2 linked regions of the Neurospora crassa OR74A genome follow. The protein of the gene in region 1 purifies or fractionates together with the protein of each later gene. This does not show direct contact. Links are inferred from orthologs where the notes say so. Each region holds a gene or a part of one and is shown on either strand. Other genes may lie near its edges.

Evidence for each region. The genes of interacting proteins can lie anywhere in the genome.
Region 2: the proteins of NCU03246 (region 1) and NCU05251 purify together in Saccharomyces cerevisiae (affinity purification with mass spectrometry; 4 studies listed by BioGRID). This does not show direct contact. The link is inferred for Neurospora crassa OR74A from reciprocal best matches to the Saccharomyces cerevisiae genes CDC14 and RPA12.

What each region holds. Positions count from the first base shown.
Region 1 is NC_026501.1:5,041,822-5,045,928, reverse strand, and holds the start of NCU03246 (tyrosine-protein phosphatase CDC14), read right to left. Parts: upstream 2,801-4,107; 5' UTR 2,255-2,800; coding exon 2,197-2,254; intron 1,977-2,196; coding exon 1,674-1,976; intron 1,613-1,673; coding exon 9-1,612; 3' UTR 1-8. Other genes in the region: NCU03245 (hypothetical protein), read left to right, coding at 3,623-3,654, 3,868-4,107. UniProt on the Saccharomyces cerevisiae protein: Protein phosphatase which antagonizes mitotic cyclin-dependent kinase CDC28, the inactivation of which is essential for exit from mitosis. To access its substrates, is released from nucleolar sequestration during mitosis.
Region 2 is NC_026504.1:5,596,174-5,599,616, reverse strand, and holds NCU05251 (DNA-directed RNA polymerase I polypeptide), read left to right. Parts: upstream 1-1,301; 5' UTR 1,302-1,840; coding exon 1,841-1,955; intron 1,956-2,078; coding exon 2,079-2,313; intron 2,314-2,384; coding exon 2,385-2,403; 3' UTR 2,404-2,771; downstream 2,772-3,443. Other genes in the region: NCU05250 (hypothetical protein), read right to left, coding at 1-136, 269-446; NCU05252 (deoxyhypusine hydroxylase), read right to left, coding at 2,772-3,288, 3,372-3,443. UniProt on the Saccharomyces cerevisiae protein: DNA-dependent RNA polymerases catalyze the transcription of DNA into RNA using the four ribonucleoside triphosphates as substrates. Component of RNA polymerase I (Pol I) which synthesizes ribosomal RNA precursors.

The DNA of each region.
Region 1 (4,107 bases):
GAATAGGGTCACATCCCACTTATTTTACGCATTGCCGATACAGCGGCCGGACTGGTTGTCGAGTTCCCTATACTCCCAACTCGTCCACTCGTCTTTCGAACACCAGCTTCTCTGACGCTCCCAGGTGGATGGCGTTTCGCACTAGTGTTGCCTCGTATCTTGGTCAAAACTCCAGACGCGGAACTAGTGCGTGGAGCGTGGTCATGGGCCTTGATTCGTGCTGCGGCAGTACCAATGTTCTCGATATCGTTCGATGCATCATTATCCATGACTTGATAAACAGTCGTTTTCGTGGTAGCGGTTTGGTGGGTGACAGACCGTTCGGGGGGTTGTCCTGGTGAAGTTGGAGCAGCAGACTGTCTTCGCCGAGATCTTCGAAGATTCCATTCCTCCTCTGAACTCGGCCCTCTTGAGCTCTTGTGAACTGTGATCACCTCGGTTGTCACTTCTGTCATGGGAACGGGTTCTTCCTCCACAGTGGTCTGAATAGGTCCCCGGCCATATCCTTTCTGGCGATCTACTGCGCCCCGCTGCGTCTTCCTTGGCTGTCCTGGCGTAGGTGCGGGGAGGTAATCCTCTTGTACGCCGATATGATTGTCACGCGCCGACTCCCGATCGATCTCGCCTAGCGGTGTCCGAACTGATCCTCTGTTAGAGGGTGTGGACACGCCATTTTTGCTAGAGCTACGACCAAGACTCGTCTTCGACACGGCACGGACAGGGGTGCTGGGATGCGCTGTCCCGTTAGCCTGAGCGGCGGCGGCGGCAGCGGCTGCCATTTCTTTGCGCAGCCTCCGCTCAACCCGCTCCTCAATCCACCACTCCCGGAAGATGCCCTGGTTCAGATGTAACCAGTGCTGCTGAGGCCCTACGACCATGCCTGGGCGCATGAAGCGCATGTAGGCAATGACCTCGTTTGCTGTAAATCCATGTCGGTAGATCAGGTAGGCACCGATGAGGCAGCCTGTTCGGCCGAGGCCAGCTTTGCAATGAACAGCAATGCCCTTCTTCCTAGAGATGGTTTCATGGGCCATGCGGATGAATTTCCGTACGGTCGAAAGGGTAGGACATGTTCCGTCCTCAAAGATCATGTCGATGTGGTTGATTCCTAGGGCTTCAAAGTATGAGGGATTGTAGAGCTGCGAGTTCAGCCTGACGACAAGGCCGATGTCTCGCTCCGAGAAATGCCTGAGAACATTTTTGAAGGGCTGCGGCAGCGTAGGATGTGCGTCGACGGCGGCTAGGGTCTTTGGCAGAAGTGACCACTGCTCGGTCCCCTCGGGGGTGGGAGCAACCGGGGTATGCTGAGGAGAGGCAAATGCCAGGAAGTTGGGTGTAATCCAGTTGAAGTCGCCGTGCTCAACTCTCTCAAACTTTTCGTACTCGTCAAGGTCGAATGTCTCCAACACGCAGCAGCCTTCCTCCTTGGCCTTCCAAACGCCGTACACAACGTCCTGAACCGTGATGCCGTAGTCGGCCTGGCTGTAGCCGGCGTCTCTGAACGGCATTAGAGGGGGGTCAACCTGGGCGACCGGCGCAAGAGCTAGATGCGGAGGCCACGATTGGATCAAAACCATGTAGCAAGCTAGTAGACAAGAGGCATTGGCACGACCTAAGGTAACATTGGTCAGCAATCTTTGCTGTTCTCGAGGAGGCGGACTTAGATGACCTACTGCGTGGATCGGCCCTGCTCCAGAACACTACCGGCCTGTCTTTGTTCTCCTTGGCCCCAAGAATTTCGTGGAACTGCAGGGCGAAGCGGTAAAGGTGGCCGATGTGGAACGGGCCAAAATCGTGGTGGAAGGCATTGTATAGAAGAGTATCGTCGACAGTGAAGTAGTATGGCTTCTTACGCTCCGTGACCTGGTCGATTGTTCGTTGAGAGCGCTTGCGCGGGGACCGTGGTTCAGGATCCGGGTAGGGAAACAAGGTATGCTCGGTAGGAGGTTCAGAGTAAGATGCAAGGTACAATCGGTCTGTAAAGGTTAGTATACTGTAAGGCAATTGCTGATATTGTAGAGGATATTCAAAGGTGCTCATATTGGGACGAGCAGCTCCGTTGCGGAGCGGTGAACATGGGATGCGGGTGGATCATAAACATGGAGTTTTCGGACAACGGAGCCAGAAGCAAAACAAAAAAAAAATTGTAGCTTCAATTAAGAGGACCGGAGCGGCGCACAAATAATCTACACGTACCGGGAATGTACTCGATGATTTGCCCCAGATTGCTGGAGTGTCTGGAGGAAGGAGCCATGGCGTCGTGGCCTGGGAGGCTCAAAGTCGACTGTTTATGTCGAGAGAGCGATTGGCGTTGCGACAATGCGCAGGCGCACGTACGGGAATAGTGATGCTGTGCAATGCAATGAGCTACGTATAGGGAGGCGGGAGCGAAGGATGTTAAAGTCCAATTCGATCTTTTGTCGTTTGAGGGCTGTACTTGAGGTCGGCCAAAATTATGGTCGGATTGATTGACGGGAAGAAGGTGAGGTCGAGATCGCAGATCGTTTGCGCGAGCGATTGTGTGCCAACAAGGGAAAACCAAGCAGCCAAGCTGGGCTAGGTAGCTATACCGCGAGGCAAGGGACTGTGTACTGCACTGCAGGTGCGGGGTGGGATGAAAGGGCCAAAAACAAGGGCCAAAGCCTCCAAAGAAGGACGAGAGGACACCGGCTGCGAGAATGCAATTCTTGTAAAGAACGAAGGCACCGGAGGCAGGAGAATTGAAGAAACAAAGGAGTGGGCAACTCGATGATGATGTGCGAGAGGAGGAGGTCAGAAAAGACCGGTGGGTATGAGCTGGTTGCGGAGAACAGGTTTTGTAGCAGGTACGGCCTTTACCGGTACTTACCAAGAGCGGTGTTTTTGCTGGCAAGGTTGTATGTCGTGTGTGTATTGTCATTGGCAGGGACCCTGGCGAACCGGAGAACGAGCGAGACCTTCACCTCACCTTCCATGCAGAGACCGCCTCCAAGTCGCAACTGATCTTGCCCGACCGCTCTGCCTGCGCCCGGGGTTTAGCGTGGGCCAGCGAAGAATTCGGGGGGCTTGGTATCTTCCAAAACAATTCACCGCCCAATAAGCGCGTTCAAAGCTCCATCTCACCCGCCGTTGTCCTGACAACCTTCTCTCTTGGCATCCGCAGTCGCGCCTGGACCAGTAACATCCAATCGCTTCGCTCTGACGGGAGATCCCCCCCCAGAGCTCCACTTTCCAGCTGAGGTAGAGAGGGAGGTGTTGCCGGAGCTTGTCCTTTTTCTGTAAAGCCGCCATGATGCCTTTGCGCCCAGCACACGGCAACAACCGAATATCGAAACTCGTTCCCTGTTCAGCCAGCCTGCCGCCTACGACCTTGCGATAACTGTAGACGATAGTAACATCACTGCGGAATTGCCAGTGTGAGATACAGTTTGAGGTTCCTACAGAGTTTCCCACAAGGGCCTGTTATCGGTCATCACAGCCCAGGCACACTCGCGGCGGTTGGAATTTGACATTCGTCATCGGGTAGCGCTTACCACACAAACTCCCCTGACAACCGTTAGGCGAGTGCCAGTCTGAAACCCTTTGGTTCACGACAACATATTTCTTGCAAGTGTTTACTTCGGGGTTATTAAAGACCGCAACCATGGCAACCGACGATAACTTCCCCTGCTCGCTGTAGGTCATTTGTTTTTGATTGTTACTTCATTCCTTGTTCTGATATGTTTTGATCCTCTGTTTATTTTCCAATTTTTGAAATTTTTTTTTTTGATTTTTTTTTCAATTTTTCATCTTGTACCATTCGTCTCATGAGATCATCGTCACATCCTTGCTTCACTCAAACTCTGCATACCTTTCAAGATAATCGACACTAACACAGCAACCGACAAGAACACTCCGAGTGCCCTTCCCTGATGCTCGGTTAGCTTCTGTTGCCCTGCAGGCTTTGAGGGTGGACAAGGAGCTCTCCGGCCTCGTGAAGCGGGAACTTTCGACCGTTGCGTCTCCTGGCAGCGAACATGCTGGGGAGACGGTCCTGCAAGTCGACTACAAGGCCACCACAAACCGCATGCTGCGCGTTGCCGTGAATTCCTTTATGGACAGCCTAGCGTTGGTGTTGGAGGTGCAGGA
Region 2 (3,443 bases), on another chromosome or scaffold:
AGTGTGTGCTGAACGCGTTTGCTTGGACCTGTGTTGTGAAGTTCTTGATTGAGGCCATCGAAGTCCTGAGTGTTGAGGAGGTCGATCAAGCTGGGGGCGGGCGACGCAGCTCCGATCGAGGGTGTCGGCAAGATACCTAGAGGTGAAGACATGAATGGTTAGGACTCGCGTGACGATATTGGAACGAAGAGGAGAGGAGATAGGCATGACGATATACGGGGGAGGAGCAAACATGGAGTGTCTCAGAGTTGGGATGGTTTGATCTTACTTGGGTCGAAAGGCACGATCGAGGTGAAAGGCGTATAGGGCAGAGCTTCGTAGAGGGCAAAAGGTCTCGTAAATGCCACAGCTTGTTGCGTCGATGAGGACGCCGGCGCGCCTTGGGAGCCATGGTAGTCTTGGGCGTTGGGATCCATGCTGTGGTGGTATGGATGCTGGTATGCCATTGTTGCTTGATCACTTTGACAGCAGCATTAGCGCATGGTGATTTGGATGGTTGGGTGTGTCCGGCGCAAATGTCGTCCCAGCCGGAGGGCACCGGCGGCAGCAGCAGCAGCAGCAGCAGCGGCGGCGGCAGTAGTAGACGCAGTACCACGTCAGGACCCGGAGCCCAAAGTTCAGACGAGAGCCGGAGGTGTTGTTGCCATGCGAACCGACTGCTTTCGGCGGAATCGTGTAGGCAGTCGCGGAGGAGGGGCCTTTGTCCCGCGGCGGGTCAGTGTTGGCCTGGGCGCGTCGGATGGACTAGTTGGAGAAGACAAGATGGATGATGGTGGTTGAGGAAAAGAGGAAATCACGCTGCAGGCACAGGTAGTGTGTCCATGTCGTCGCTTCGATGTGTTCGGACCAACAACTGAACAGAACCTGAGAGTGAGGGGACTGGTCAACAGACAGATAGAAATAGCTAAGGTAGGTGGGATCGGGCACGATTAAAGATAGAGAGGTAGAGGTGGGTAAGTACGTGTGGTCGATGTTGAGGTTCAAGGAAGGTGAAGTTCAGGTACTGTACCCAAATTGGAACTCAAGGGAAGGAAAGTCCAATGGATCCAAATGTATGTTTCCCTTCCCCAGATTTGATCCGCAAAGCAGGGCGGGCACTGGGCAGGCACGGGCAACGCACAACGCCAACACGGGAAACAGCCCTGTGAGCTTGGTGGGCACGGCGCGCGGTCACGCTACTTACTGTAATTCGAGTCCCCGAACCCCGGCCGGTACTGCACAGGTAGGTAGCTAGCACCTGCCATGCCGTGCCGTGGCCGTCCCGTACTTGCCCAGCTACACTACCTACCTACCTAACCCCAGGCGTGTTGGCGCGCTCGGTCGTGCTTGCCGCGTCTCCATGTCTGGCTTGCAATTTACGAATTCAACTTGAACCCAACTCAGCGCCAGAAACACGCGGCCTGCGCTGGATATGGGGCCTTGGGGGGGCAGATTCCCTTGGTCCCACCTGCCGTGTCATCAGCGTGGATGGATGGTTCCCTTGTTGCGGTTGTGCCTTCCGCCGTCACTCGTCATCGCCCATGCTAAAGTACCTACGTCTAGGTGCCTGTAGCCTGCCCCGGCTTTCATTGCTCGCTGCCAAGCAAGTTAGGTTGCCTGCCAGGAAGCAAGCCAGGAGGGTCCCCCAGTGGAATTTTCCATTGCGCGCCCAATCAATTGCCATGGTTTTGCCGTGCCATTGATCGTCTCCATGCAGGCCCGTTGTAAATCTTGAAGTCCGCCGGTGTTTACTGCGAGAACGAAACAACAGAAAACTTCAAGTTAACCGAACCGCCGACATCGATCAGACAACCTACAGTACCTTGACCACCGTTCCGGCACAAACCAAGAAGAAACAACAATGGCCGCCATCGGATCCCTCATTTTCTGCACAGACTGCGGCAACCTCTTGCCCGTCTCCAAGGGCAGCGAAAAGAACATTCTTCACTGTGAATGCTGCGGTGCCGAAAACAGAGGTGCGCATTCAATTCACTTTACCCAGTCAATATCCTCCAGAAGACGGTGTTCAAGAAGAAGCTTTATTTCATCCGAGGATTGCAACTTGAACAAACTGACCATCTTTCTTGGTTTCATTCTAGATCGTCCCTCCAGAACCGTCGTGACCAAGTCCAAGCCGTCCGATTTCCCCTCGCTTTTGCGCCAGAAGCTGGATATCGTCCAGACCGTCGTAAGGCACGAGCTCAACACGGAGAGAATCGACTCCAACACAGAATGCCCCAAGTGCGGCAAGCGCGGTATCCGTTACTCGGAAGTTCAGCAGAGAAGTGCCGACGAAGGCTCAACAATTCTGTACAACTGCGACTGCGGAGAGAGGTATGATGCGACACCGCCGGACGGTTATTATAGCTGTGGTTTGCTTTGTGCTAATTCGAGGTACAACACAGATGGTCGGTTAACAACTGAGTGCAAAGAAGATTGCTGCAATTGGATTTACAAAATTGGGAATGCTGTTTGGGTCGCATTGGTTTGGTTTGGATCCAACGACATATGGGACAGCTTACTAGCACCAGCATTGGCAAGCCGAGCTTTAGTAACGACGGCTTTCTTTGCCTTGTTACAACTACTACAACTACAACAACGATACCCCTTCTTTTTGTCAGGACCGACGATCAGTCGCATTGGTATAATCCTGAGAGAGAGAGAAAGACGCATAAACTTTTTGAAATACCCTTCCATCCATCCATCCATGATTCGCCCCAGAAAAGAAAAAGAAACAAGCAATCAACGAACGCAATCAACGAACCAACAAGAGAAACTCAAAGTCCCATCTTTTACGACGCCTTGCTAGCAACCTCGGGTATCAACGCGTACTCAGCCTGGCCGCTCTGCTCAAACTCGGCCATATCCAGCGCAACAATCACACTCTCGCGAACGACCTTCTCCTTGTCATGGAGGAACTTGAGCAGCGTCTCCTCGACCCCTTCCTCATCACCCAGACTGCCCAAAGCCTCGGCCGCCTCGTGACGGACCATGCTGACCTCGTCGAGGTTGCTGAGGGCCTCGGTCAGGGCCGGGATGGAAGCCGGGTGCGACAGCTGTCCAAACACAAAGGCGATCTCGTGGCGGAACAAGGCGGACTCGTCCTTGAGACCCTTGGCCAGGGCCAGGATGGCGGGAACGGCAGTCGGCAGGTCGGGAGGGGAGGCCAGGTCGCGGAGGGCGAACATGGCGCGGTATCTCTTGAAGAGGGGGAGCGAAGTGTCTAGGAGTTTCTTCTCGAGCGTCTCGACCGTTTGCTTCTCGTCGTCTTCGGGCATGGGAGGGGCGGGATCAACCGAGGCAAAGTCACTAGAAGTAGTAGTTTTCTGCGGTTAGCACACCAATGGAAAGAATGCCAGAACAGAAATATGATGTTGTCAATGTCAATGTACCTCTGGCGCAACTTCTCCTGCTTCCTCTCCTCCGAATTCTCCCACTCTATCCTATCAATCGCAATCTCGCAC